4 linked regions of the Daphnia pulex genome follow. The protein of the gene in region 1 binds, or shares a complex with, the protein of each later gene. Links are inferred from orthologs where the notes say so. Each region holds a gene or a part of one and is shown in the gene's direction. Other genes may lie near its edges.

Evidence for each region.
Region 2: mitochondrial import inner membrane translocase subunit Tim21-like (region 1) and surfeit locus protein 1-like share a complex: the UniProt entries of both Homo sapiens proteins name them as parts of the MITRAC (mitochondrial translation regulation assembly intermediate of cytochrome c oxidase complex) complex. The link is inferred for Daphnia pulex from reciprocal best matches to the Homo sapiens genes TIMM21 and SURF1.
Region 3: mitochondrial import inner membrane translocase subunit Tim21-like (region 1) and mitochondrial import inner membrane translocase subunit TIM50-C-like share a complex: the UniProt entries of both Homo sapiens proteins name them as parts of the TIM23 complex. The link is inferred for Daphnia pulex from reciprocal best matches to the Homo sapiens genes TIMM21 and TIMM50.
Region 4: mitochondrial import inner membrane translocase subunit Tim21-like (region 1) and mitochondrial import inner membrane translocase subunit Tim23-like share a complex: the UniProt entries of both Homo sapiens proteins name them as parts of the TIM23 complex. The link is inferred for Daphnia pulex from reciprocal best matches to the Homo sapiens genes TIMM21 and TIMM23.

What each region holds. Positions count from the first base shown.
Region 1 is NC_060020.1:2,278,050-2,285,917, reverse strand, and holds mitochondrial import inner membrane translocase subunit Tim21-like, read left to right. Parts: upstream 1-3,274; 5' UTR 3,275-3,926; coding exon 3,927-4,113; intron 4,114-4,177; coding exon 4,178-4,412; intron 4,413-4,501; coding exon 4,502-4,546; intron 4,547-4,616; coding exon 4,617-4,785; 3' UTR 4,786-4,955; downstream 4,956-7,868. Other genes in the region: uncharacterized protein LOC124192910, read right to left, coding at 1,091-1,301, 1,366-1,517, 1,597-1,719, 1,792-1,971; glutamate receptor ionotropic, delta-1-like, read right to left, coding at 2,082-2,273, 2,348-2,462, 2,538-2,581, 2,654-2,735, 2,806-2,909, 3,002-3,133; uncharacterized protein LOC124192913, read right to left, coding at 4,956-5,045, 5,107-5,285, 5,391-5,510, 5,598-5,658; protein abrupt-like, read left to right, coding at 6,395-6,568, 6,634-6,774, 7,020-7,321, 7,385-7,508, 7,572-7,783, 7,845-7,868. UniProt on the Homo sapiens protein: Participates in the translocation of transit peptide-containing proteins across the mitochondrial inner membrane.
Region 2 is NC_060023.1:11,352,050-11,359,951, forward strand, and holds surfeit locus protein 1-like, read left to right. Parts: upstream 1-3,383; 5' UTR 3,384-4,066; coding exon 4,067-4,108; intron 4,109-4,169; coding exon 4,170-4,259; intron 4,260-4,330; coding exon 4,331-4,455; intron 4,456-4,517; coding exon 4,518-4,703; intron 4,704-4,754; coding exon 4,755-4,928; intron 4,929-4,984; coding exon 4,985-5,198; 3' UTR 5,199-5,262; downstream 5,263-7,902. Other genes in the region: homeobox protein extradenticle-like, read left to right, coding at 5,887-6,057, 6,120-6,261, 6,327-6,577, 6,668-6,858, 6,934-7,069, 7,138-7,237, 7,317-7,468, 7,536-7,595. UniProt on the Homo sapiens protein: Component of the MITRAC (mitochondrial translation regulation assembly intermediate of cytochrome c oxidase complex) complex, that regulates cytochrome c oxidase assembly.
Region 3 is NC_060024.1:13,317,698-13,325,556, reverse strand, and holds mitochondrial import inner membrane translocase subunit TIM50-C-like, read left to right. Parts: upstream 1-3,035; 5' UTR 3,036-3,079; coding exon 3,080-3,673; intron 3,674-3,746; coding exon 3,747-3,866; intron 3,867-3,938; coding exon 3,939-4,046; intron 4,047-4,110; coding exon 4,111-4,366; intron 4,367-4,434; coding exon 4,435-4,538; intron 4,539-4,600; coding exon 4,601-4,693; 3' UTR 4,694-4,748; downstream 4,749-7,859. Other genes in the region: transient receptor potential cation channel trpm-like, read right to left, coding at 1-146, 222-1,152, 1,210-1,473, 1,531-2,010, 2,130-2,136; serine/threonine/tyrosine-interacting protein B-like, read right to left, coding at 5,337-5,479, 5,555-5,607, 5,695-5,883, 5,951-6,048, 6,136-6,294; E3 ubiquitin-protein ligase siah-1-like, read left to right, coding at 7,645-7,759. UniProt on the Homo sapiens protein: Essential component of the TIM23 complex, a complex that mediates the translocation of transit peptide-containing proteins across the mitochondrial inner membrane. Has some phosphatase activity in vitro; however such activity may not be relevant in vivo.
Region 4 is NC_060025.1:1,868,559-1,875,426, forward strand, and holds mitochondrial import inner membrane translocase subunit Tim23-like, read left to right. Parts: upstream 1-4,060; 5' UTR 4,061-4,184; coding exon 4,185-4,218; intron 4,219-4,283; coding exon 4,284-4,533; intron 4,534-4,592; coding exon 4,593-4,869; 3' UTR 4,870-4,955; downstream 4,956-6,868. Other genes in the region: all trans-polyprenyl-diphosphate synthase PDSS2-like, read left to right, coding at 715-992, 1,057-1,342, 1,423-1,538, 1,600-1,711, 1,779-1,997; phospholipase A2-like, read right to left, coding at 2,345-2,573, 2,642-2,791, 2,860-3,019, 3,097-3,257, 3,320-3,483. UniProt on the Homo sapiens protein: Essential component of the TIM23 complex, a complex that mediates the translocation of transit peptide-containing proteins across the mitochondrial inner membrane.

The sequences.
Region 1 (7,868 bases):
AAGGGGGGGGGCTTAGTGTAACTATTTGATACTAAAATAATCCCGATCCGTTCAGCGGATGTCGAGCGCGTGTGACTAAACCACTTGCGCTTTTAGTCTTTTACCGTTTGTCATAGTTTTACATGGAAGGGATCGATATTAAATGGTTTCAATCGATTCCTAAGAAAAGTGTCGTCTGCTTTCGTTATGTTTACAAGTTTCAAAAAGAGAGAGACGAAGTTTGTGTGTTTAAGATTACAAACAAAACGGAATGATAATTTTTCGAAATTCAGCTGAAGGTAAAACACAATTTTAAGTGATTAAATGTATTGTTGAAGTATTTCTGTGTTCACAATCTATATATGGAAAGTAATAATGGAGATATCAGTGATATCAGAAAACATGGTAGGCCTAAATACAAAATTTTCTATTTGCTCTTTGCTTTTAAAGGTTAAAGTTAAAAAAATGTTGAATTTTTAAAACATCACATAGGTTGTTTGTGAGTAAATCAATCCAATGTTGTTCCTGTAAGAAAATCACAGGTGTATGTGAAAAACGATCGTGTTAATATTAGAAAACATGGTAGAGATAATAGACACAATTTCATTATTCCATTAAAGTCTTTTTTAGCTGTTTCGTGCTTATTTCTGTTTCGGTGTTATCATTGGATATCATTGTAGTTTATAGTTAACTTTGCAATAATATTCTTGCTTGTAATTTTAAATATTCTGGTTTTATTGGAGGAACAGCAATGTAATGATTATTTATTGAAAAACCTGTGTTTCAAAATTAAGATTGCTGAATGATTTTCAAATTTAAAAAAAACTTAATTTTCAACACTAAAAGCAAAGTGCAACTGGAAAATTTTATGACCGAGACTTCGAGAGGGACCACTGCAACGTCATCTCCTCGTATAACTTGTAATTGGATAAATTGTGTACACTCCTACTACTATAACATAGCTATAGATTGACTATAATACTTATGCTTTCCTATCTGGCATTAAAATCATACCAGAATGACTATTACAATAACTATTTCTTTCCTCGAATACTCTCATAAGCTCGTTCTCGTAAATTATGGCTCCCGACACCACCATAGTTAACTGACTTCAAAAACGAAAGTAGAAAACTTCCATTAAGAAACTTAACAGTGCCAAGGAAACCCCGATACCAAGAATGAAGAACGCGCTGGTCAAATCAACGAGCTTTATGGGTTTCTGACGGGCTGATTCCTTACTATTCGCCAGGCACTTGTCTACGTATGGTAGATTATTTTTTAGCCAATTAATCATTAAACCAGTCTCCCAAAGAAGCTGAAGCCTAAAAAATTAATTTCGTCCATCATTTAGATCAGTTGTATAAGTGTGCTAATCAATTGTAGTACTTCTCGCTAAATAGTTGATTGAGTTTGTTGCCTTTCTGTAATCCAAGAGTGAAAGCCCCCTCTGATATTGGAATACGACCGGTTACGTGAAATCTACATTTCTTGCTTTGTTTTAGATCGATGTTGATCAAGTAAGCTATGTATGATTCGACCTGTAGAAAGCAAACAATACTAAAGAATATAATTCAAAATAAAAAAAAAATTGTTTCGAATTGAGAAGGAGAAACTTACTGTAGGGAAAACGTACTTCAAAGAAAAGATGTTGGACACGCCCTTTTCTGGTGTGGGGTAAATGCTTTCTGGTTTTCTGCGCATTGCGTCTCCTATGGCTTTCAACGTAGCGGAAGTGGTGTTCTGTAAAGTATAACAAAAATATTCCTTTACTAATTATTCAAATTCTTTTAATAGGTCAATGCTGCCATTTACAAGAACCGTATTAGCCATGACACTGTTGGCGCTGGCTGTCATAGTCAAATCCTGACTGGCCGCTAAATCTTCCAAAGAATTCACGGTAGGCTTGAATTTTGTCAAAGTTAATGAAGACATAAGAGTTCCGGAGTAGCAGTTGACTAGTACCGTGGCCGCCAATAACCACATCCCGGCCATAACACGAAATGAAGTTTGACGGACATTAATGTTCAGTCCTATGTAATAATAGTTAGGTAACCAGGGCAGAGTGTCACATTCTTTCTAGTTTTATCTATTAAGTGCTGTATTCAGCAATGAATACCTTGATTTGTACAGACAGAAGCAATGTACATCGCGTAACTACCGAAGATGGTAAACATGTTCTTCTTTGCACCATAAAATTCATTATTTGGTAAATTAGGCCAATGAGAGTAGCACCAAGACAAATATGAGAAAGCCGCCAGTACAAACACGATACTCAATAGTATGCAACCCCAAACCTGCAATTTTCAAAATCTCAATATTCGATGTGGGAAAAAGAAATAATTTGAAAACAGCTATATAGCTTACTTACCGAATACTGAAAAGGTCTGATCGGACCCCAGAGTCGGCTTTCCTCATCTGGTTTAGGGACCATAAATTTATAGGATTCGATTGCTACCGGATATGAAAATTCCATATACTGAGTTCTACGGAATTAAAAATTTGCAAATTAAGTTAGTTAAATAAATTTCCACTACCGATACTGGTCCGATATAGTTAACCTTTCCAATGTGGGAAGAAAGCAGAGAGTGGAAATATCGACTTCCTAAGTAAATTGAAACATTTACGATTTGCAAAGCATCCACTGTTAAAATATACAGGGATGTGGCTTACTTACTTTATTGATGATTTGATTTAGACCTGCTAGAACGGTTCCCAATTTAGCAATCTCGGTGTTGTTTACCGGGAATAAATCATACCTAGAGCGAGATAGACGGGGAAAGATTTGTTGCCCGCCATTTACAGCGATAGTTTAGAATGATATCTTACGTAAAATTAAATTTTTCTGCCATCCAGTAGATTATATTGGGAGTGCTTCCAACATAACGAAAGGTTCCATTAGCTCCATAAATCAAAAGTTGATAAGGAGGGAACTGCAAATGAGGGATAAAGTTGTGCAATTTAGTTAAAATTTTCCAAACTTCCACATTCAAATTTATGGAAAATTCTTTTATTTGAAACTTACATGATGAGCGGACACTCGAAAGTATGCTCCGCTCAGTCCATTCCGGATAATCGAATTTGAAGATAAAGGATAAAACAACATAAACGTGGTGATAGCAATCTGTAATTGATTTCCTCGCAGAAGTCTAGACATTTTTTAAGTGTAATCGCTGCCGTATCGTTTACAGAATGATGTCTCATTCCTTGGGACTTGCCGATTTATACCAGATTCATTCCCAAAAAGACTGAGAAATGACAAGCAACATCACGCAGAAAAAAGTCGGCTACACGACTAACAGAATAAGTCATGATAGGGAATTTAAAGTTTGTTTGGATATACTATTGGCTTTAAAAAAAGCATTAAATATGTGTTTTGTAAGTATTGACCATCTTTTATTTGGTCCCATGTTCTAAGCAGCTGTAACTTTTCTCTGGAGGTTGAAATCCTGATGACCTTTAAAATAATAGTAAAAGTGTATCAAACGTATTTTTTTTTTCAATTTGTCGCCATGGAAGCTGTATTTTTCCCCCACCGAAACATTCTGTTGTATTTTTCAAATTCTATTTGGTATTTCAGATTCTAAATACTAAATGAAGCAGTTGAACCTGTTGGACGATGCGGAGATGCTTCTCAGCTTCTGTTAGTGTCTCTAGTGCGTGCGTAGCAATTCTTTTGAATAAAATATTAAATATCATCGTGTACTAACATTTTTTGTAGTTTATTTTGTAAAGTTATCATTTTTTAGAAGTTCAGTTTCCTTAGCGACGTTTTGTTTATATACTTTATAAAATTTTGAAGCGGGGGGACTGCGGGATAAACCATCTTTTTTTTACAGCGGCAACGTTGTTTCCATGGCAAAAGGAAAATAAACATCAACACTGTGCCCCTAAGAAATAACTTCAAAGAGCCAATTGTCTTATGAACTGTGCAGTAAAATTTGCAATAAATGTTGTACCAAAATTTCCGTTTATTTTTGCAATCTAGAGTTAGCCCTAGTATTAGGGGACAAACTTACCGTTGCCTCTATGTTCACCAAAACCTTTGCGGAGCTGAGAAAAGAGGAACGACACCGGTTAAGTCTGTGCAGCCAACTTCAAAGAATGATCAAGTCGGCGTTCCTTTAGGAGCCAAAGGTATTTTTATCACTAGTCGAGATCAATAAAATATGGTTGTGTATAACTTTCTACTTTTTTTCAGTTAAAGATGCTGGTAAAACTGTCTGGTACACTGGAATTGTTGTATTAGGCTTCCTTGCAACTGGTGCCCTTCTTTTTGCTGTGTTTAAAGAACTTTTCTGGAGCGAAAGCCCTCAATCAGTATATTCAGATGCTTTAAAAAAATGTACAGAGTATCCCAGAATGAAAGATTTGCTTGGAGAACCAATAACTGGATTCTGTGATGGGTCTGGGCGGAGAGGCCGTACTAATCTCAGGTTAAGTATTATTCAACAACAATACTTATTATAATTCTGAATTTAATTTTAAACTTGTACTTTAATTAATTAAATTCTAACATATTCAGGCATAGCTTGTACATAAAGGATGGTATAGAACACCTACAAATCAGGTACTCACAAAATGTTTTGCTTGCTGATAGAAAAATATTTAATCATCATTTCCATTTCTTTTTTCCTTAGGTTCTATGTCAAAGGGATACGCAACCAAGCCACAGTTCATGCGGTCATGGAAAAAAAAGACGGAAAATTCGAATACAAATACTTGGTGGCAGAGACAGAAAATTATCCCAAAGAAAAGATTTTTTTAATTGATAACAGAAAACATGAATTGAACTTTCAGGAATTTTAAGTAGCTTCAGAGAAAAAATTGGTAATAAATAAATCATTTACTTGTAAATTGTGTGTATTTTTAAAACTCTCATTGGCTGGAATTCTTCAGTCAGAAGATGCGATGGACGGTATGGTTTTACATATTTAAGATGCACTTTCACAAAAAATGTGTCATTGGAAAAACTACCATTATGAGCGTCCTATAAACTTATAGGCAACAATTGCTAATACACCAATAAAAATGAGGTTTAAACTGGAACTCAATGAAGATCCTGTCAACTGTAATAAAAAAGAATTATATGTATAACTGATTACTCATATAAAAAACTTGAAGTTGTACCGTAACAAAGTAGTTGCAACGATCACCCTGACAGCATTCTGAACATCTCCAGTCCAGATACCAAATTCTTTCACAATAAGGAAGTGTTTCATTCCAAGTCTTCTCACAGAAACTCTTTGTAGCACACTGTTTTGAGACATAATACTGTTTGTCAGCATTAATAGTCCAATATGGGTGGCCTAGTGACAAAAATGAGCATATGTTATTGGAGTAAGATAATAAAAATCCCAGTTGTGAATGAAATCCTGTTTCAATCACACATAATCATATGAAGGGTAACTTACTTCCCCATGCAATTGTGGTTAAACAATAGTCTTCCCCAGGTTCACAAGTTCTAATTGTTCTGAGACACTTTTCCGTATTTCCATTTTGTGTGGTGCATACATAACATTCGAGGGAATCACCTAACAAAAATAATTACATAAATTAATTAATCCCCCCAATAGTTGGCATATGTATTTGAAACATGACTTGAGAGGGATACAACTTACCAAAGTGGAGCAATAGAACGAAGTAAAATATAGCCGCTAAAAACTTTGTGCTGAAATCCATCTCCGCTGAATGCGAAGAAGTGTTTATATTTTCTACAGTTTTGGTGGAATTCCGTCAATAAAACGTCTAAAACTTTTGATTAAAAAGAGAAAACAAACGAATAAAGAAGGAAAAAAAACAGTCAGATGCAACGCCCTTGCAGGATGCCAGATTTCAAAATATGGCTGTTCTTTAAATCATTGCTCGTTTTTCGCATCCATAAAATCCAAATCACCGAATTTTGCTAATTAAATTAAGTTTAACATGGGTTACATAAATATAATCCAATCAGTACACGTAATACAATTTCGAATAAGTTTTCGCGTGTGAGTGTGTGACATAATAGAAATTATATGACTAATCGAGTAAACTAAACAGCACACAAACAGAGCTCGAAGCGGCGCAAAAGGGCAAATTTGTGGGGTAGTATACTACGGCAGCACGGGTAGTCGGATACTATGCACCACAGGACCAGCCAGCAGCACCTCAGGGGAAATGGAAATCAATGCCGCGGTGGTCTATGCATTACGCATGGTTTTTCTATGACGCAATGAAAGCAGGCGGGGCATACGCAAGACCTTGAAACGAGATTTGCTTTGGAATATCGGGATTCGGGATTCACTTTTTGGAGAAGTTGATATAGCTGCTGTAATAACAAGCCCATTTTAAGCGTGCGTAGAAGCTAAGAAGTATCATTGACACATGTTGGTTTGGAATAGTTTCCCCGTGTGCTTCGAACTTAATTTCGTAATCAAGAATGACTTCACAACAGTTATTTCGTTTACACTGGAAAAACCACTCGCCAAATTTTGTCAGTGTTTTTTCTCAGTTGTTGAATACAGAATCCCTTGTGGATGTCACACTGGCTTGTGATGGAAAACAAATCCAGGCTCATCGTGTTGTATTGTCAGCTTGCAGCACTTATTTTCAGGTATATTAAGTTTCATGTGTGTGAATACTGCAATTTCTTAACTACATTTTTGCTTATTACTTTAGGAGCTCTTTGTTTCACATCCATGCCAGCATCCAATTGTCTTACTTAAAGACATCAAATTTGAAGACCTTCACACCGTCATTCATTTTATGTATTATGGAGAAGTAAACATACAACACGATCAACTGAATTCAATTCTAAAGGTAAATTCAAACATTTGTTTTGTGAGTGATTAATTCTTTAACAATATAGAGAGAAATTTATATTAATTTCTGGATAAAAAGTTTTTGATGCTGTTAATTGTGATTTTTTAACTTTTGCTTGAAATTTACAGTGAAGAAATCAGGCTAAACAAATACTCTTCGTAATTCTACTAATATGACTAATATGATGTTTGTTTGTTCAAAAATGTTTATTTAACTGTCATATTTCTCACAATTTTTAACAGACTGCAGAGGTTCTACATGTCAAGGGATTCGCTGACGTAGCAGATAAAGAATCGTTTAGTGCGGCACTTCTGACCCAACAAAATCAGCCGCTAGAAAATCTGTCTGAAAGTCGACAGCATTCAGAACATTCACAAGAGTTTCTGGACGATTGTTCCTTGGCTGCCAAACGTAAACGCCAAAGAAATGGATCAGGAAGCAGCCAAATGAAATCTGGGTCTCAAGAGCAACTATCGTCTCATTCACCGCTGTTAAAGAGACAAAACTTTCAGAGTAGCAAGGAAGCTACAGACTCATCTATGAGGTTAATTTACTCCACTTATCAGAATTTGTTGATTATTTCTGACATGTAACTCTTGTATCATAGATCGTCAAGTAGTTTAGATAGCAACTCGGTCATCAAATCACAAAGCAGTCTTGCGGGGCAAAGTTCCGTAGAATCTAATGTTGACAACGAATATTTTTTCCCTAGAGAAAACGATTCTAAACCAGTGAGTTGCTATTTTTTCTAATTTTAACTACTATGAAAGCTTATTTGTTTCTTCATTGTATAGCCAATTTGTTCAACTGGTTCTCTGGATACTGCCACCGCTATGATGGAAAATGGCGCGTCCTGTGGTCTACCTCTTTCCAAGCAGAAAAGAACGCGTACTTTGATGCGCCAAGATTGCGTGACGCGAAAAGAAGGTGACAAAGATGCCACAGGCGGTGTTGAAAACGAACGTGCCTCTCCTATTATTCATACATTTCAGCCCATCCTCCCCAAGTATGTATTGTTGGTATACGAGATGGTTTCATATCGATTGTAGCAGTTTTTTGGTTCAAAGGACACAAAAAAGCATAAGTGAGAC
Region 2 (7,902 bases), on another chromosome or scaffold:
CTGAAATGGAATGGAATCTGGAATGGAATGGAATCTGGAATGGAATGGAATCTGGAATGGAATGGAATCTGGAATGGAATCTGGAATGGAATCTGGAATGGAATGGAATCTGGAATGGAATGGAATCTGGAATGGAATCTGGAATGGAATCTGGAATGGAATGGAATCTGGAATCTGGAATGGAATGGAATCTGGAATGGAATGGAATCTGGAATGGAATGGAATCTGGAATGGAATGGAATCTGGAATGGAATGGAATCTGGAATGGAATGGAATCTGGAATGGAATGGAATCTGGAATGGAATGGAATCTGGAATGGAATGGAATCTGGAATGGAATGGAATCTGGCATGAAATGGAATGTGGAATGGAATGTGGAATGGAATGTGGAATGGAATGTGGAATGGAATGGAATGGAATGGAATGGAATGGAATGGAATCTGGAATGGAATGGAATCTGGAACGGAATGGAATCTGGAAAGGAATGGAATCTGGAATGGAATGGAATCTGGAATGGAATGGAATCTGGAAGGAATCTGGAATGGAATGGAATCTGGAATGGAATGGAATCTGGAAGGAATCTGAAATGGAATGGAATCTGGAATGGAATGGAATCTGGAATGGAATGGAATCTGGAATGGAATGGAATGTGGAATGGAATGGAATGTGGAATGGAATGGAATCTGGAATGGAATCTGGAATGGAATGGAATTTGGAATTGAATGGAATCTGGAATGGAATGGAATCTGGAATGGAATGGAATCTGGAAGGAATCTGGAATGGAATGGAATCTGGAATGGAATGGAATCTGGAATGGAATGGAATCTGGAATGGAATGGAATCTGGAATGGAATGGAATCTGGAATGGAATGGAATCTGGAATGGAATCTGGAATGGAATCTGGAATGGAATCTGGAATGGAATCTGGAAGGAATCTGGAATGGAATGGAATCTGGAATGGAATGGAATCTGGAATGGAATGGAATCTGGAATGGAATCTGGAATGGAATCTGGAATGGAATCTGGAATGGAATGGAATCTGGAAAGGAATGGAATCTGGAATGGAATGGAATCTGGCATGGAATGGAATGTGGAATGGAATGGAATGGAATGGAATGTGGAATGGAATGTGGAATGGAATGGAATGGAATGTGGAATGGAATGTTGAATGGAATGGAATGGAATGTGGAATGGAATCTGGAATGGAATGGAATCTGGAATGGAATGGAATCTGGAATGGAATGGAATCTGGAATGGAATGGAATCTGGAATGGAATGGAATCTGGAATGGAATGGAATCTGGAATGGAATGGAATCTGGAATGGAATGGAATCTGGAATGGAATGGAATCTGGAATGGAATGGAATCTGGAATGGAATGGAATCTGGAATGGAATGGAATCTGGAATGGAATGGAATCTGGAATGGAATGGAATCTGGAATGGAATGGAATCTGGAATGGAATGGAATGGAATCTGGAATGGAATGGAATCTGGAATGGAATGGAATCTGGAATGGAATGGAATCTGGAATGGAATGGAATCTGGGATGGAATGGAATCTGGAGTTTGAGGAGGAGGAGGTTGAGGAGGAGGAGAATTAGGAGGAGGAGGTTGAGGTGGAGGAGAATGAGGAGGAGGAGTTTGAGGAGGAGAAGAATGAGGAGGAGGAGATTGAGGAGGAGGAGGAGGAGGAGATTGAGGAGGAGGAGAATGAGGAGGAGGAGGTTGAGGAGGAGGAGAATGAGGAGGAGGAGGTTGAGGAGGAGGAGAATGAGGAGGAGGAGGTTGAGGAGGTTGAGGAGGAGGAGAATTAGGAGGAGGAGGTTGAGGTGGAGGAGAATGAGGAGGAGGAGTTTGAGGAGGAGGAGATTGAGGAGGAGGAGAATGGGGAGGAGGAGGTTGAGGAGGTTGAGGGGGAGGAGAATGAGGAGGAGGAGGTTGAGGAGGTTGAGGAGGTTGAGGAGGAGGAGAATGAGGAGGAGGAGGTTGAGGAGGAAGTGAGGAGGTTGAGGAGGAGGAGAATGAGGAGGAGAAGTTTGAGGAGGAGGAGGTTGAGGAGGAGGAGTTTGAGGAGGAGAAGAATGAGGAGGAGGAGGTTGAGGAGGTTGAGGAGGAGGAGTTAGTAGGAATGGAATCTGGAATGGAATGGAATCTGGAATGGAATGGAATCTGGAATGGAATGGAATCTGGAAGGGAATGGAATCTGGAATGGAATGGAATGGAATGGAATGGAATCTGGAATCTGGAATGGAATCTGGAATGGAATCTGGAATCTGGAATGGAATCTGGAATCTGGAATGGAATGGAATCTGGAATGGAATCTGGAATGGAATCTGGAATGGAATGGAATCTGGAATGGAATGGAATCTGGAATGGAATGGAATCTGGAATGGAATGGAATCTGGAATCTGGAATGGAATCTGGAATGGAATCTGGAATGGAATGGAATCTGGAATGGAATGGAATCTGGAATGGAATGGAATCTGGAATGGAATGGAATCTGGAATGGAACGGAATCTGGAATGGAATGGAATCTGGAATGGAATGGAATCTGGAATGTAATGGAATCTGGAATCTGGAATGGAATCTGGAATCTGGAATGGAATCTGGAATGGAATCTGGAATCTGGAATGGAATGGAATGGAATCTGGAATGGAATGGAATCTGGAATCTGGAATGGAATGGAAGGTAACAATATCCAGAAGTAGAAGTAAAGGTAACAATATTTTGTATTGCACGACAAAGTTTCTTAGAGTAAATAATTACAGAATTAACTTGTAAGTTGTAAGCACAGCATATATAACTTAATTATTTCTTAGTAGTAAACAATTCTGTGTATGTTAAGCAGTAAAACAAACTTTGGGTGAGACAAAAGGAAAATTTATTTATAGTAGGACTACTACACAAACAAATTTTTTATTGTATGGTATGATTATGAACACAGCAAGTAATAGATATGAATATAGATGTCTTGACGTTTCTTCCCGAAATCTGGGGGCCAATAGGCCCGACCTTCTGTTTAGTCTTCGACCCTCGGTTTAGGTTAAGGGGATTTTAGTGTGTAACATTTATAGGGTTCTTTTTCCACGAACGTGCATTATTTTGTGTCCAATGATTATTTTATTTCTAATTTAGATTTATCTGAAGAACTGAATTTCATGAGGCCTTGTGGACAAGAAAAACGGAACTTAGACCTCATCACTCTCCGGCCTCTTTATTCACGTGAAAATCCCAGTGAAGAATGGACGGTAAAGTCACGAGTTTGCCAAGCTTTCAACGCGCTTCAACCACATTCAAAACCGAAGAAAAAACAAATGGCAATCTGAACTGGTTGTTCAGACATATAACAGCCGATCAAAGGATTCATCCCATCGAAAACGATCAGCAGAATCGGTGAGCGATGTGTCAGAGGAGAAAAGACCTCCGTGTCGAGGAAGGCGCACTAATCCTAAATGCGACTTCCAAGTAATAATCGAAGAAAATCCTATGACTATCGATGACAACTGACAATTCCCAATTTCTACTCAACAGTCGACCAGCGAGGAGAAATAGGTAATGTCGTTGACAAAACCTAGACGACGCCCTGGTCAACCACGGCACCACGAAAGGTGAAGAAAACTTCCGGGTAAAATCGGTAAAATACTTAAATTCTTTCGGGTTGCTATTTTTTTCACAAGCAAAGACGATGTGTTATTGTGAGTGTTGACAGTTGACTTGTTTGAATTCTAAATTCAGAGACCAAAGTGTGATGCTGCTTAAGCACGGACTCTGTATTTAAAATTGAACAAAACCTTATTGAAAAGGCTATTTTTAGATTTAATATAATGTAGCTTTTTTTAGACTTTTGTAGGTCATACGCTATTTTGATCTCTTTTTTTAAATGAAAAAAAAATCGCAAATATCCCTTCGGGTACCTTGCTAACGCAGGTAGCTGACAATTCACCATAGGTTTATCTGAAAATGCGCTAGGTGTCTCTGATCGTTCAAGTGTTATTCAAAAACTCTTCTGCACTTTTTTTGTGAAGACCTTTTCTTTTCCTAAAGAGATTAAATTGAAATTGATTACAATGCTCAGTTTAAGGCATTTTCAGAAAATTAGAAGAATTAAGGTAATTTGGTTTATAGCTTCAAAACTGTGTTTTTCAACATTCATTTTCTGCTACTATTCAGACATGTACACAAAATTACGTAAGACGATCAGCCTCAAGCTATGGGCAAAGAAATGCTGTAGATATCGGAATTCACGGTTATTCGTTATTGGTAAGATAATCGATTTTAAAAATAAAACGTACATATAGTTCTTTAACAAAAAATTGATCCAATAAATGTAGGCTATTCCAGCCATCACTTTCGGCCTTGGGACCTGGCAGATTTTCAGACGTCAGTGGAAACTTGGTGTTATTGATCATCTTGCCAGCAGAACGTCTGCACCACCAATTCCATTTCAGTCTACAGAGTGAGACTGATACAATTCTTTAACTCTACCCTTTTATGCATATTTACACCAATGCTCTACAGTATTGAAGGGCTATCTGACATGGAATACCGGAAGTTTGAACTCCATGGAAAATTTGAACATGACAAAGAGATTTACATTGGGCCAAGATCACTGGTTGGAAATGAAAAAAATGAAGGTGGTGGGATGTTGTCTTCAGGGCAGAGTGGCTATTTAGTCATCACTCCATTTAAACTATCAGATTCCAAGTAAGACATTCAAACAGTTAATTTTCTCAATTTTCTACAAGTTACTTTTAGTCTCACAGTTCTTGTAAACCGCGGATGGATTCCTCGTAAAAAAATGAATCCATTCACCAGACTAAATGGACAAAGAGAAGGCGAAACAAAACTGATTGGAGTGTACCGCTCTAATGAAAATCGCCCCCAGTTTGTACCCCAAAATCAGCCCAAAGACCGCATGTTTCATTTCAGGTAAAGACAATTATATTTTTCGCAAAGTTAGATAACTTCATATATATTGCGTACAGAGATGTGGAGGGAATGGCTCGGCTTCTAGACACTGCGCCAATTTTCTTTGACGCGGACGCTGATAGCACAGTACCGGATGGACCTGTAGGTGGACAAACAGTTGTTACTGTTAGAAATGAACACGTTTCGTACATTTTAACGTGGTATTCATTATCAATTATCACAGCATTTTTGTGGCATCGACGATTTATCAAGAAAATGCCTCTTATGTAACTTAAATGTATTTATCTTCATAGAGGTTAAAGTCAAATTAATACATTTTAACATCAAACATCATTATATTTTTACTCTTGTTGCGTTTTCATTTGTAAAAATAAAATTTTAATTAATAAAATTCAAAATAAAAAATAAATACAGTATCGCGAGTTTCTAGTACATCGATTATTGGCTTACCCGATATAATTATCGATACTTACCTTTGTGATCGCGTTCTCGCGTCTTTTTTGCTTTGTCCCGTCGATAATCTCGGCGATCTCTGGTAATTATTTTATGAGCCTTTGAGAAATGTGATTCAGTCTGTTTGAATACTAAACAACTCGTGAATTCCCGGTTTCAAATTGTGTGTCAAGTCAGTAAAGAAAGTTTTTATTCTAATTGAAAGAAATACGCTACGCAAGCAAACTTCTCTTCCATGGCGGACGCTTGTCGCCTTGGGCATTTTATAAGACGTTGGCATTTTTATATTAACCGAAGCCAATTTTTGTTATTTACGATTGCTTTCTTGCAATACTAGTGCTTTGTTGTGTCTAGTACATTTCATTTTATGTTTACATTTCATGAAATCACATGTATGGATGTTAGTAAACGGAAAGTCATTGTTTACAGGGTCTTTATTGCCAGGTCCTGTAGCCTGAAGGCAATACGTTTTGTGCAGTGACATTGGAAGATTTCATTGCTTTTGATGGATGATCCAAATCGACTTATGCATCCTGTTCCAGGTGGCCAGGTTGGACTAATGCATCAGCCACCGTATGGGTTACCTCCTGTCAATGTCGGAGTCAATGTTGGGGTTAACATGGCTTCACTTGATGGAGGGAACCAAGACTCTGAAAATATGACTGGACGAAAGCAGGTGTGTACAATTCCATTTCCAAAATCTTTTTTTCCTTTTAAGTAAAACTTCTTTTTTTTTAGGATATTGGAGAAATTCTGCAACAGATCATGAACATCACAGACCAGAGTCTTGATGAAGCCCAAGCACGCAAGCATACCCTGAACTGTCATCGCATGAAACCTGCTTTGTTTTCTGTCTTGTGTGAAATCAAAGAGAAAACTGGTAACCCTATTTCAATATGAATCCAAGTGATTGAATGGTAACATTAAATTGTGCTCTCACTTTAGTTTTGTCGCTACGCAACACGCAAGAAGAGGAGCCTCCAGATCCGCAACTCATGCGGTTGGATAACATGTTGATTGCTGAAGGAGTAGCTGGTCCTGAAAAAGGAGGTGGGGCCGGTGCTGCTGCCAATGCATCAGCTGCAGCGTCTCAAAGCGGCTCAATGTCGGACTCGGCTATTGAACACTCTGATTATAGGGCTAAGTTGGCACAAATTCGTCAAATTTACCATCAAGAGCTTGAGAAATATGAGCAGGTACACATTTTTAGCAATGCTTATTTTTTTATTGGACCTCTATGACAAGAAAATGGAGAATAACCATTTCATTTTTACATCCGCTTTCAGGCTTGCAGTGAATTCACCACCCATGTTATGAATTTGCTCCGAGAACAATCCCGTACTCGTCCGATTACACCCAAGGAGATTGAGCGGATGGTTCAGATCATTCATCGCAAGTTTAGCTCCATCCAAATGCAGCTGAAGCAAAGCACTTGCGAGGCCGTTATGATTTTACGATCTCGTTTCCTCGACGCCAGGTAAATTTTGCTATTTTTTTAAGGTTTGACCACGCCCATTAAAGGTGTTGTTCTATCGATGTCTTCATCATGTAGGAGGAAGCGGCGTAACTTCAGCAAACAAGCTTCTGAGATCTTGAATGAGTACTTCTACTCGCACCTAAGCAACCCCTACCCAAGTGAAGAAGCCAAAGAAGAGCTCGCTCGTAAATGTGGGATCACCGTTTCACAGGTTAATTTCTTTTTAAATCCTTTTAAGAGGAATAAGCGCATTAATGTTTTGTTATTTTTACAAAAAAGGTTTCGAATTGGTTCGGTAACAAACGAATTCGTTACAAGAAAAACATTGGAAAAGCCCAAGAGGAGGCCAACCTGTATGCTGCTAAAAAGGCCGCGGGTAGTTGTTTCCACTCTGAGGATTTTCAAATCCTCGTATTACCGGAGCGATTCTAATTTTCGTACTTTTTCTTTCTCGTTAGGTTCCTCGCCATACAGTATGGCTGGAACTCCCGGACCGATGATGTCGCCTCAACCTGGTGGTCCTGAACTCAGGGGTCCACAAGATTCCTTAGGCCCGTACGGTGCTATGGGACTCAACGGTGGTGACTTTCCTTCCTCCATGGGCGGCCAAGTAAACTACTTTTAATGACTTAACTAGTGGTATCTCAGCATATTAATTAATGTAAACGTGTTTGTAGGGCTATGGCGATTCATCGATGGGTTATGATCCAAGTATGCATCAAGTGAATTCACCCTGAGGGGTGGACGAGTGCCCCTTCTCCTCCTCCACCCTATTTCTCGGCAAATCAACTCTTAATTTACTAACTTCATCAGATCTTGATCATACTGTGCGTTACAAGCTATCTTCAGCTGTTCGATTAACTCGTTCTAACCCATCTCGTACTCCTTCTTTTGTCCCTTCCTCTCAGTGCAGCTTTGTTGTTTCGTCTTGATAGAAAATGTTTCTGTGGATCACCTCGATCGGTGCTTGTTTTTTCTCATTTGTTTCAGAAACCTCTGTAGTTTTAATCGCTTTTGCGTATAGTTGAAACCGTCGATGTAGTC
Region 3 (7,859 bases), on another chromosome or scaffold:
ACATCAACTTGGCCATATCTTGGCGTTTGGTCAACACGGACCAAACCAAAAGTTCGTTGAATGGCTGAGTAAACATATTGTGTGATGGCTCAACATGATATTGAAGGTCTTCAATGAGGCTCAGGTGGCCGGATTCAATATACTGACTGGATAACAAAGAACAGCGTTTTATGATTAGTGAAGATATCGATAATCATAGACTTGACATTATCAATCCTTACCTTAATCCATGGTTTAGAACATTGCGACTCGGAGTTTCTTTAGTGAAATTTTTCATCATGTCGGTGTAGCTGTGACGGAATTTCCGTCGGGTGTAGGAGCAACGATAAGCACCGCCCATCAGCTTGTTGACGACCAAGCCGATATCGATAAGACTGTAAGAATAGTTGCGAGGCAAATGTGGACGGACGTCACGAACGATGTACCTCAGCGTATTGGCTGGACCTTGTTTGGAATTATAAAGTTCTTCCAATCGATGGATGGTTAAGAATTTGGCCATTTGCACACCCATTTCCAGCAGCAACTTTACAAAGTCCACGCGATTTCTCGCCAAGGCTTCCATCATGGCTTCTTCCAGGGCTCCATCGGCCCACTCTTGGCCGTAAATGAAGATCTCGGAACGGGCAATGTCGACTCGATTCCAAGCCAAAGCCAAACTAAGTTGTTCGGCAGCTGTCAAGTAACGGGCACGGAAAAGTGCACAAAGAATGGCACGATCCAGCTGATTCAGTGACTTTGATTCCGAGGTCTCTGACGGTTTGAAAATGGTGATGAGATCCACATTTTCGACGCACTGTAGAAGTTCGGCAAGCAATTTATTCGTCTGAGACTGACTGATATTGAATGTTTTCTGGATTTCAGCCAGCAGTTGTTCTCGTATTCCGTCCAAAGCAGTCGATGATTCCTCCATCTCTTTGGCGTATTTGTGCGCAAAGGAAATCAGATTAGCTGCCCGGCCTGAGCCTTCCACCACAACTACTGGAACAGGTGGCGAATCCGTTACGTATTCCAGCACGGTCCTGATAGTGTCCATTCCGCCCTCAACGACCAAACAGACAACAGGAATAGAACAATTAGTTCGAGCCGGAAGCCGTTGGCTGGATATGTATTTCTCCAGTTTCCTCCGCAGGGCGATCTCCGCTCCATAACGACCTGGAGAAAACAGTTGAATATGACCAATCCACGGATAAATGAACAATTAAAACTGACCCACAGTTCCGTTGTCAGCCAGTAGAAAATACGAGTGTCGATTGTTGAGAGCAGCGAATTTGGAACGCGGATGATCGATCGATTGATAGGCGACATCCTTCTTCCGGCCGATCAGTGAAGCTCGATTTTCCACCACACCCCAGGGAGCGACGCCGATACTGACGACACGGCCACTTCGTAATCGAGGAGAACGTTCTGATATCAAAGCATCGCCGACATGATGAGTCACTCCCGTACTGGTCCCACCCGTCAAGATCCATGCACCTGTCGGAAGTGGAAATGAGGTGAAAGCTTCGTTAGTCATCTAATGTTAATTAGTACCCGTAGTTTTAGCTGCTCGAAGGAGTCCCTCTTTGAAGACGAGCTTGAGTCGTGGATTAAGTTTAAAATTAACTTTGCCACCGTGTACGGAGATGACAAGTTTAGGTAATTCAAGTCCCCATTCACGGGTCAGCAGTTGAAAAATATGGTCGGTGCCTGAATCAAAGCCCAGCCGGATGAATTGAGCTTTATTGGGATGTGGGCCGCCCAAGAAATCGATGGTGCCATAAGAGTCGGTTGGGCTGCTGACAGTATGATGGGCAGGGGACCAAACTTCTTCCGACACGCCAACATTTTTGATTCCGTGAGTCTTGTGATACGTCCACGTTCGGCCGCAAGTACACAGTGGGCCTTTGTCGGAGCTGCAAACGTATCTGGAGCATTCTCGCTTGCAAAATGTTGATTCTATCCAGCCTGGATGACCCGGAGGAATCGCAAAAACGACGCCACTTGCAGACGTTACAGCCAGTTGATTTTCCTCTATATGGGTAAAAGAAATAAAAATGGTTTACTTATTTAACAAAGTTTTAGCATTAAATTAGAGAATTTCATGTGTAAAAATTAAATACAAAAAAAGCGGCATTTTGAAAACAACTTACCAATCATGGCCGAACGTGTTTGGACTCAGTCATGAGAAACTATAGACTACCTTAGAATCTTAAATTCAAGTGCACCCGTTTCACCAGCATTGAACTAGTTTTAAGGTACGTACACAACAAACTGACATGCAGTGATAAGTAGTTTTGACGAAGGTCGAACCTTAAAAACAATCACACAAGATGAAGCAATAACATCGTATGTAGCAATATTTGGACTTCAGATTAGAAGTCTTGGATTAACTCATACTTGGCTTTTCACAAAAGGATCGGTCGACGTTACCGTCTGGGAAAAGTCAAGGAACGGTATGAAATTTCACTACAAGTCTGGAAAGAATGAGCTTCACTGAGATGAGAGAGCAATTATTAAAGAGGACTTTACACGATAGCGGCAATAAAGAGGTTGTTGATCCTCGATAAGTTGTATGTTATCAACAAATTAATCCTGCATTTGCGCATTCTTTGCATTCATATCACATGTAACCGATTGCATCGCGGTGATATCAAGTAGCATTAGAGACCCCGACACACTCACTAATAAAACGTTATTGAAAATGTCGAAAACGAAACTACAAGGTTAACTTTAACTATACCAAGATAATTCAGTCAAGTATGAAATCCGAATGTAAATAAAACCGATAAAATGTTACCTTCTACAGCTGAACACTTTTAACATTTTCCATTTGAGACGAAGAAGTATCGCGGCGGCAATAATGCAAGGCCATTCAAAAATAAGGCATGAAAATATGAATGCAAAATCTCTTGTTCTCAGCATCCTGCACTCACAATCGTAATCGCAATATACCGCGTTTAGATTTTACAGACCCATAGGAATTAGGAAATAGATTTTGGATTTTTGAATTTTTTTACCCGACGGTTGGAATAAAGAAGCAATCTGACAACTACACAAATGTTGCAGAAGATTCTTGAGAAAATTAAAAATATCAAGAAAAATGGCTGCCTCCAGATATGTCACGAGTTTCGTAAAGTTATCTCAAATAAGTGGTACAAAATTGACTTGTGGAAATTTTCACAGACTAGTGACAATTCCCCAAAATGTGCTGTGTCAACCAAAGCAAATAAGTAACATTCTCTTAGCTACCAGGCACTTACAGTTTAGGTGTTACAGCCAAAAGTCCGACAGCAGCAACGAGACACAGACGACGACGGCGAACAAACCGGCTGCAGCTAGTCCAATATTAGGTTCATTTCAAGGTATGGGAATTGCAGGAGAGGTTTTAAAGTCCCAAAATGAAACCGAAGGAAAGCTGAAGTCTTCTCCACCTGGCCAACAACAACAAAACAACAGTGAAGAAGATGAAGAAGCCAAAAAGAAAAAGGAAGCAGAGGCTAGTTGGAGAACTATGAAATACACACTTATTTTCTTTGGAGTAACACTAAGCGGCCTAAGTGGTTACATTGTTGGCACATGGGGAGCACCAGAGAGAGATGAAGAGGGCAATGTGATAGAAGACCAATTCAGCTCAAAACCTCTGGCACTACAATATATCCTTAGGTCATGGAATGCCATAATGAACTATAGTCAAGTAAGCATCTCTGACTGTCAGATTTTTAAAACATTTCAATTAATTTTAATATTGTTTTTGGCTTTCTTTTCAGATGATTAGAGACCCTTCAAGAGATAAACTTTTACCTGATCCTCTGAAAGAGCCATATTATCAGCCTCCTTACACATTAATCTTGGAAATGACTGGTGTTCTAGTCCACCCAGATTGGACAGTAATTAATCAGTTGAACTGTATGCATTTCAAATGAAACATCATAATCATTTGCTCTCTCTCTTAATTTCAGTATCAAACTGGTTGGAGGTTTAAGAAGAGGCCAGGAATAGATTTTTTTTTGGCACAAGTGGGTCCACCCGCATTTGAAGTGGTTGTCTACACGGCTGAACAAGCCTTTGTAAGTACCATTTTTAAATTTCACGTTCTCGGTACAAAATAATTAAATTTCTTTACCTCTTTAGACGGCCTTTCCCATATTAGACGCCTTGGATCCCAACGGTTACATCATGTACCGACTCTTCCGCGACGCTACTCGGTATGTTGATGGTCATCACGTGAAAGATCTTGACTGCATCAATCGCGATCCATCAAAAGTGATTGTCCTCGATTGGAACACCCAGTCAGTCAAATCGCATCCTCGTAATGCACTTAGAATTAAAGAATGGAAGGGTAACGATGATGACAGGACCCTTGTCGACTTGGCTCTACTATTGAAAAGTAAATGTCCTTCTAAGAAATAGTATGAAAAAAATACTAATGAAGTAACGCATTTTACTGGTGAATAGCAATTGCTACGTCAGAAGTCCAAGATGTGCGAGAAGTGCTGGATTTCTACAACCAATTCGACGATCCTATCGAAGCATTTCGGGAAAATCAACGGAAACTTCAAGTAAGTGTAAATCCATCATCCAATTCTTAAATTTGTTTTTACCCAATTTTGTTGCTGTGCAGGAACAACAGGAACTGATGGAACGAATGAATCAAGAGAAACAAATTCTACCAGCTACATCTGTTGCCCGTGGTCTATTTGGTCGGCGATTTTGATTCAGCAAGTCTCGTTTCTAGTATATTAATTCGAATAAATCACCGATCGAAAGTTTCTGAAAGAAAAAAAAATACTCTTATCATTGGGTCGAGGCACAGCCAAGAACGGGAAAACATTTTGTCCCATATTTTATACAGGATGTCAACCGTCCATATAAAGCGTCGTCGATACCTACTGTCTCGGTCGTTTTCAAGTTCTTTACTCTTTTGAGCAATTGTTACACTTCAGTTTGCGCGGTAGATGGGTTCACATTCCTTCAAGTGTTGAATAGAATCTGTAAATATTCCAGTGAACTCAATCGCAATAGTTTAAACAAATACTTTACCTTCGTTGGACTAAATAAAATGCTTCGACGGTAATTTACACTTAGATTAGTTGTTGCAATACAATTGAAGATAGAAACTTAAATACCGTATCGTATGGGAGTATTTAGGTAAAATATTAGGTGCTGGATTGATATTCCTAGACTGCATTGAATTATTAGTCGTCAAATAAATGGATTAAAGCTTTGGACCGGTAATCGACTTAAAAAGATTGCAAACCATTTGAAAATCACTTGTTTTATTCCTTCAAGGAACAGTCAAGAAAAAATTGTGCAGCATACGCAAAACGTTTTTATTGATTCTCATGTCGGATAACGCGTCACTCGTCCATAGCATCGTCATTTTCGATACTGTCTCGCTTCCGTTTCCAAGTGCTTTGCTCCCTTGAGCACTGACCATTGTTTGTTACACTCCAGTTTGCTTTGTAGATAGGTTCATATTCCTTTAACTGTTGAACAAATCCTATTAAGAGAGTTTGAGCTATGTGAGACTATTATTCTAATGAACTGAGATGCAACAATTTAAAAAAATACCTACCTTCATTGGGATTAATGCAAAACCTTCTCTGTTGCACTAAACTGAAAGCCTCTCTGTAAATAAATAAAAAAATTAGATCAGAGCTTGAAAAGAATGTCATGCTTTACTGCTTATATATGAATGAATGTTGAGAAATATACCTGTAGTCAAGGCAGTATTTTTGCATAAGAAAGCCCAGAACAATGGCAGCACTTCGAGATATGCCAGCATTACCGTGAATAAGAGCTTTGCCTCCTGCAGAAAAACAGCTATCCAAGAAAGTTTTAACTTTTTGGAAGTGCTGAATGATATTTTCTGTGACTGAATCTTTCACGTTGACAACCAGGTATCTGAGGAAAAAGTGCAATACAAATAAGTCCATACAATTTGTTCCTTGTTTGGAATAATTTAATTTACTGGAATTTATCAACAAAATGTGTTTTGATCATGTGAGATTCAATGTCTTGTCTAACACAAACGATATGAGTGATTCCGTGAGTCTCAAGATAGTTCTCCTGGGGTTTAAAAAAATAAGAAGGTAATGTTGTTATACTTATTACATTGGCTAATGCAAGAATAAAAGATCTATGCAAACCATATACTTTGGATCGAACTGCAACCGAGTAGGGCCCAAGGAACAATCCTTTGACAATTTCTTGCATTTCCCTTCTCATCGAATATGTCCAATCGTTAGGTTCTTGGAAATCAGCCGTTATCGACGAGGCCGAAAGTATGTCGTGACTATTTGTCTGAACTTCCATTGAGGCGACTATTAAGACTATTAAGAATAAAAAGAAAAACTGTAAACACTAAGCCTGCGTTTTGAAACGAAAACTTTTTGTTTTTTTTTCACTCTGCTGTCTGATAATCGATGTTTAAGAGAATCGATTTTTCCAAGCAGACTAGAAATTTTCTTTTTGGCGGTTCGAGAGTCGAGTTCAACCTTTTATTGGCGGTTCAAGTTCAATACGTTGTTTCTTGTTTATAAATAGACGTCTGGCATGTGTCAGACAGCTTCCCTTTAAAGACGGGAAGATTTTGTCACTCGTCTCAGACCCGTTTCTTTGCTTGAGCCGTTTCGACACGATTACTCAGTTCTCTAAATTGTAAGTATTTTTTTCGATTGTTCCGAGGCAAACCAATTTCTTTATAACGAAAAAGTAAAGTTATTTTGCTTGTTAGATTGCCAGTTGCCCAGTTCGTAACAATAACAAGAATGTCGAATGGAAAGTCTTTAAAAATTACGGCTGAGGACAAAGACGGAGTTCGCACAAGATCTACTGTTATTCGATCGGAAAATTTCGGTCACGGATCAAAAGTTTCCATATCCAGTGAAGAGAAAAGACAGATGGGAGCAGGCAGAGGCAGTGATGTTAGTCATGTCTTTGCTAACATGCTTGGAGGATCGGGAAAAGACAAAGATAATCTTTTCCTATCATCCCCAAATTTCAACAGAGGTGCTTACAAAGAAAATGAATTTGAAACCAGGAAATTCATTAGAACTACCGAAAAGTATCACCCAGGAAAACAAGTAGAAGCTCACACAAAGGTCACCATACACCCCAGCAGCAATTCGGGAGCCGATCCTCGCATGAAGTATGATGTCACCTCGCACATTGACGGCAAAGAAGGGCCAAGTTACACTACGTTTTTTAATTTTTTTGGCAAGAAATGAGGTCAACTGCGATGGGGATTTTCAATCGAAGATCATATATATTCAATTATTCAAATAAAAAGTTCGCTACTTTAAATTTTTTAAAGTTATCTTACACCGCTTTTTGATCAAAATTTTTTCTAATACAATTCTTTTCACTGCTTTAGTCATTTGTTTTGTATTTTCTTATTCTACAATTTTTTACTTTTTGCGTCAAATAAAAGAGTAAAAATTACAGAGAGAAAGGCAGAAAGGGCGTTTTTCAGTTAATCGATATTTAAGAAATGAATCGATTTGCCCAAGCAGACTACGTAAAAACTTTTTGTTTTTCTTTTGTGAGTTGGTGACCCTCTCTCCTAGGTTCCACATCCACACCCTTTTTCTTATTTGTCTAGGCTGTTCTACAGCATTTTATGTAAATTTCAAGGCCACTTTTAATTTTACTTACCACTTAAAGATGAAAAGATATTCCGATAACATGAGTCCTGGTCGTTGGAAACGAATCTGTCCACCTGCCCACGATTCCGATAGTGATAGCAGCTCATCAGACTCTGACGGAAACATAAATTCTTGTAAGAATTATTTTGTAAAAAACTCTTTGGTGATTTTTAAATATAGTTTATCCTTAATCAATTAAAAGGGTAATGTTAAAAATCAAATATTTTCTCCATA
Region 4 (6,868 bases), on another chromosome or scaffold:
TTGTAATTTAGATGACACCGCCATTGATATGTTAATTGGTGACTTGTTGTTTAGTCAAATTGAAAGCGATACTGTATGGCATGACATTCACAATGCAAGGGGGATTGCGGGAAATTTGTTGTAGTCTAAGCAGAATTGGAAAATGATGAATTTACAATTGTTTATAATAGGAATGATTGGTTCTATGATGCCAAAGAAAAACCGGTTCGCCATGATTCCGGTAATTTTTCCGAAAGCACATGCTGTACTAACTCCTTCCTGTTTTAGAGTTCAACTTAGTTGTTGGATGAGTTTAAAGAAACCCAAGCAGCAGGTACTAAATCAAGAGAGAAACTTCTTTGAATATTATAAAGTGGTCCACAACAGGGACCTCGGTTATTAGTGCATAGAGATTCGACTTGTTCGGACCACCTATTTTTACGAGATCTCTTTCTAAGAGGTAATTTTTGAACTTAATTTGTTGGTTAAAACATCAAATTTTAGCATAAAAAATCTAAGTTAAATGTTTTTTTTTTGTTTTTTTTTTATTCTTTTATTTGTTTCGTTCGATTAAATTTTTTGCGAAAGATACGTAAATTCTGAATTTGCCAATAGATGGTGTTTGTGTTTGATTGTTTGTTTGTAAGTTGTAACGGCAGACGATTCTGAAACTAATGTGTTCCTTTTCGCTATTTTCCACGTGTAGTGCCGTTTCTTTTATTCAAAAAAGGAGAAATGGTGTCTAGAAATGGTTTGATTTGCTGGAAAACTCTTCAGTCTGGTTGTATTCGTTCCACCAATCCCGTCAATGTTACCATTTCAAGAAGGTTATGTGCGAGTTCTCAGATTTGTCAAAATAATTGGGTACAAGCAGTTTCCAATGCAGAGAAAATAGTGGGCTTGCCTACGCCCTTCCTTAGTTTACGAAGCGAAGCCATTGATGAAATATCTAACATTGCCGTTTACTTAAAAAAACTAATTGGGACTGGACATCCTCTGCTTGCCACTGCCAAGTAGATTACCTTTCTTGTTATACCGCTGGATTCTTATTAATTATTTTATAAATTTGTCTTGCAGAAATTTAGTGTATTCGCAAGACAAAACAAATCAGACCAGAGGATTATTGGTTTTGCTTGTATCCAAGGCTGCAAAAATTGATCAAACTCAAGACATTCTGCCAAAACAGAGAACACTTGGAGAGATCACAGATTTGGTTCATGCAGCTCACTTGATTCATACAGGAGTCATCAACCTTAACACACCAAATGAGAGTCTAGAAATGGGGAACAAAATGGCAGTGTTATGTGGGGATTTTTTATTGGCCCGTTCTTGTGTACTACTTGCTAATCTACAAAATCTTAAGGTAGACTATAGTATTTCAATCTTGTACTTTGAACTCTATAAAAATTTAAACACTCTTTTAAATTAATATTCCACAAACAGGTTGTAGAGCTAATTGCTCAGGCAATATCAGACTTCAGTACTGCAGAATTCATTGACATAGTGGCAAATGAAACAGACAGTGCTCTCGATAGATGGAGGCATCAATCAAAACTAAGGCATGAATACTTAATGACTAGTTTGACCAGATTATAACTAAAAAGACGCTTTAATTTTTAGGTATGGGACGTTATTAGCCCATGCATGTCAGTCATCTCTAATTCTAGGGGATAACGTAGAACTTGTTGAATTCGGTAAATATTTTGGGCTTGAAATCGCCTTGGCTTGGCAGGTAAAAACTGCTTTATTTCTGTACGATCAGACTTGGTGGTTAAATTTTTTAATGATTTTTTTATTAGGCTAACAATGAAATACAAAGCTACAAGAACGCCAAAGAAAAGGCGGATCATGTCCTGTTCAAACTCTTCCCACCAGGAACTCCTTTCGAAGAAGTGATATCAAATTTTCAAGCTGTGCGCGACACACACGTCGACGCAGCATTACAAATGTTGAGCGAGTTTCCAAAGAATGATGCCAGTCTTGCTCTTTGTAACATCGCAAGAGCGCTCAAGTACTAATTGCATTTTAAATTTAGTAAAAATTATTGATTTTGTATTATCTGTGTTGATTGATGCTGGTGGTTACAACTTATTATTGACAAAGCTTTGTCATTGGCCTTGAAGTGTTGTCCTTACTGACTGTTAAAATCGTTTCTAGATTTTCATTTAGTATCTGTCTAGAAATCCAGAAAGACGAGATGGCGGCTCATGCCATAAAATTTATCAGGTCAAAGGATTAAAAATTCCCTAAAGTAAAAACTAATGAGCCGATCGATAGTTGTATTGCTTTTGTTTTATTCGACAGGGTTTTTCAGGTAGAACATTTTACAGCCAATTCAGTAAAGGCTTTACATTCCGTATGCCCCTCATTTTCCAGACTGCACAGACAAGGTAGATCCAGCCACTTGTTTCACCATTGTTGAAACATCACTCATAGTTGACAGGACGTGCCGGAATATACCGTCAGGTTGGTTTCTACGGACCATTGCCGATTTTTTAAACGGTTGAGGCGGGATAAAACACCATCCATTTTGCAAATTTCTGGTTCTCGATTGATTTTGTCGTTTCTTCCGCCTAGTTAGTTCTATTGGTTCCCTGCGTGATTATTTCAATTTCATTAGGTCTCTCAAAAGTTGTCTTTCGGACAAAATTGCGCATCTTACCTGAATACTTTATTGACGCAGTCAGGTGTCTGGCGATAACAGCTTATAAAACCAACGTCAAAATAGATGAAACCCACTGGAACACTAGCTGGGTCATTCGCCGCATTTAGCAAGCATTGACGAAATCGGTCGTCGCAATCGCAATGGGACCTTTAAAGAAAAGTTTGGATTTTTATTAGAACTACAGTGAACAAAACATTTACTGTAGGAAAACGTACTTAGTGAAGACTGAGGTGTTGCACAAACCATATTTGCAAGTTCCAGGCTTCATAGTGTCTTGACAAAAATCGTGATCTCGACAACACATGTCTGTGGCGGCATGTGGTCCTAGATCTTTAAAATTATTCGCAACGTCTCCTGTTCCACACCATTTGGTGCCTGTTTGGGTATCAAACGAACTGTTATTTGAAATTCAATTGGACTAATAATGTATTTTTTTTTTTCATTTTGTTTACCTGGGTAAATGAAATCTATCTGATTGTTGGCAGTGGTCGGCTTCTGATTGAGAGTGAGCAAACGCTGTTGACAATCAGCGGCAATTGTCAACCATTCTTGTTGATTGATTGTTCGGAGTCTTGGACCGTCCGGTAGATTTTCAATAACCTGTATGGGGTTACTAAAAAAAGAACTTTCCCTTGAGGCGTTGTGAGGGTTGGAATCGTGAAGGTTAACACGTACCTATGGCCGTAGATTCGACAAGGTTCGTTGGGGTCACTGTTCACGAGCACAGCCCTTCTGCCACGCGGATGCCCATCTAGAACAAATAATTCGTTTGATCCTGTGGAATTGGAAACAAGCGCAACAATTGCTTGCAAAAGAGACAAGACTATGATGAGAATCATATTTTAGTTTGTTTTCCTCCTAAATCAATACTGCGTTGTGAGACCACTGAATATTCGGCGACGACTGTTGAACACTTAAAAAATTGGTCTCCGTTGTCAAGTCGTCCAGCTTATTGTAGGGAGCATGGATGACCTGCTTCTGTTCGTGTCGCTTTCTGTGGGTACACTGTCTTGGCTTTATTTCATCCTCTCTTGGGAAACTTTTTTAGTACTACTCTCCCTTTAGTCTACGAAACTTTAGGTTTAAAATGTAGCTACCTGGTTTTTTTTCCGTTCCCTAATAACGAAGAAGGGGGTTTCAAGCAGTTTCAAGTTTAAATCCCAAATATGCGATACTTACATACTTTACTTTCATTTTCTTTTCCCCAAAAATGCTCACAAAGGTTAAAAGTAAAATCTTGAGCTATTGCGTAATTATTGCGCTGTTTTTTCACCTTACGTATGTTTCCGATGATCCAGTAGTAGTTTAATACTAAAGAGTTTATCTGGTTGTTTATCGATCTAATGTTTTTTATATATTTTTTTTTTTTTTTTTTTTTTTTTGGGGGGGGGGGGGAAACGCCGAAACGGTAGTTGTTAAAAAATAATCTGGCAACAGAGAAGTTGATTCTTGCAGACGATCCACGTTTCCCAAACGACAGGTCCGGCCGGTGCTGGTTTCATAATATTTTCTAACCATTTTGAAGTAATTTTTCATAAAAATGGACCCAGGACAGAATGACTTAAACTCATCAGGTAGATTAGAAGTTAAATTTTAGTATTTATCACTTTTGTCATAATTTAAAATATCGAATTTTCAGTGTATTCTAACAGAAACTTGGCCCCCCTTTCACCGTATCTGAACTTCGATCCATCATACTTGCAGAGTAGTCAACCAGAATTCATCTTTCCCGAAGGAGCTAGTCGCCATAGAGGACGTTTTGAATTAGCATTTTCTTCGATAGGTGGGATGTGCATGATCGGTGGAGGTATTGGAGGTGTTACTGGTCTTGTGAGAGGAATCAAAGACACAGCAGTAGCCGGTCACACTGGAAAGCTTCGAAGAACACAGTACTTATTCAATATCTTATCCATGTATTTAACCTATTGATGAAATATTTAAATTTCAGATTGATCAACTATGTTATGAAGCAAGGAGCTGGAACAGCAAATACTCTTGGTGTTGTTGCTGTGATGTACAGTGCTTTTGGAGTTGGCCTTAACTGGATAAGGGATACTGAGGATGAAATCAATACATTAGCTGCTGCCACTGCTACTGGTTTATTATATAAATCAACTTCAGGTCTGAAAAGCTGCATGAAAGGTGGAGCAGGTGGTCTTGCTCTAGCTTTGGCATATTGTGCATTCACCTCAAGAGAAAAACTTACTAGCTGGACTAGCAACTGAATTTTAGGTTGTTTGAATCATACCTATGTCAACGTCACCTAGTGTTTACTGTAAAGTTCTCCAATAAACGTTAGTTTTTTTTGTTATCATCGAGTGACAAATATTTAAGGAAAAATCTATTGGCCCCCGGATTTCGGGGGCCAATAGCCAAAATTGCTATTGGCCCCTGCCGCTAGGGGGACACTGGAAAAGGATCGCGCCTCACAGCAGTCTTTTGTTTTTGAAGTCACTGCCTGTGCCTTGGGTACTACGGGGAAGGGCCGCGCCTAGTACCAGCAGCCGGCCGTGTTGTTGACAAGTGATAGTTCTTCGTCATGTCTTTTTCATTGGAATTTTCATGTCTTTTTTATTGACATTTTTAAATGTAATTCTCTACAGGTAGTGTAAAAAAGACATGCAAGACCTTACTGGAGTAAATACCATTGAAGTGTGCAGTCTTGTCTTGTTAATCCAATTATGCTTACGGTGAAAATGGAAGTCCACCTAAAAATTCATCTCAAATGCCAATTGCTGATGTTTGAGGTATGGTTAGATCCACACTGTTCATTTTTATATAAATTCTGTAATTTATATTTGTCTTTAGGTTGAAAGATAGAAGATCTCACCAAAGCAAGTGATGGAGGAATTATAAATCAAACCTTAAAGTCATTCAAATCCTATAATGAAAAGGTGCTTGTTGCTGAAGGTATGCTTCCTTGACTGAATTATTTAAAGTGAAAATTAAACAATAGTTTACTTTTTCTCCCTTTTAATTGTTCTAGTTTTACTGCTCGGTCGACACGGAGACACGGTATTTGATGATCAACTTGAGTTAAGCTTCAACCTTGGAGAAGATTTAGAACACAACATTCCCAACGGTGTTGAATAGGCTCTGTTGAAATTCAAGAAGCAAGATTGGAGCTTGCTTAAGTTGTCACCTGCATACGGTTTCGGCTCTGCCGGTTACGAGAAACAAGGTGTTTCCCAACGTCAACCTCGAATGTTGAACTCGAGTCAAGAGCTTTGAAAAGGCCAAAGAGAGTTGGAGCATGGACGCCGAAGAAAAAGCTGGAGCAGGCTAAACTCTGCAAAGGAAAAGGAATCAATCATTTTAAAACTACCAAATACGCTCTGGCTAACAAACAGTAGGCCTACTCCAAGATTGTCACCCTCCTCGAGTTTGAAAAAAGTAAGTTTTGCTTTTCGCAACAATTTGATTTCATTTTGTAAAAAAATAAAACTTTTCGTTTTTATTTCAGCTCTTAAAGACGAGAAAGCTACGGAACGAGAACAGCTCATGCTGGCAGCACATCTCAATCAGTCCATGTGCTGTTTAAAGTTAAATGATTTCTGTGCAACTCGTGATCATTGCCACAAGGCGCTCGAGATGGACCCGAAAAATGAAAAGGGTTTATTCCGCATGGCCAGGTATCCGTACCAATTGACCAGCAATTTGTTCTGATTTATTACTCACAGATTTTGTCTCTCCATTTGTAGGCACTTTTGGGCATCCACGAGCTGGAGGACGCCAAGAAACATTTCGAGGCGATTCTCCAACTTGATTGAAACAACAAGGCGGCCGCCAATCAAGTGGTGATCTGCAACGCCAAGATTCGCGAGCAACGCGAAAAGGACAAGAAATTGTACTCTAGCATTTTCAACAAGATGGCCGAAAACGATCATAAGGTAAGCGAAAAGAATGGAGGCCAATGGCTTTACGGTTGGTGGGACGAATCGACGAAGGGTGTCCAGCTGGTTGTTGATCTGGCTCAAATCGAACGAGATAAACAAGAAGCTGTGGAACAGTTGAAGGTCGAACGTAGGAAGAACCAAGCAGATTTCTTCAAGCGTTACGGTGGCAGGAAACCCAACATCGTGTCAGTCAACGGGAAGCCGCTAAATTTGAATGAAGATGATGATGGTGAAGAAGATAATGACGAAAGCTCTCCGGACCACCAAAATGCGGAGTCGACAGAAACACCAACAGAGCCATCAAATGAGCCATCCAACGACCTTCTTA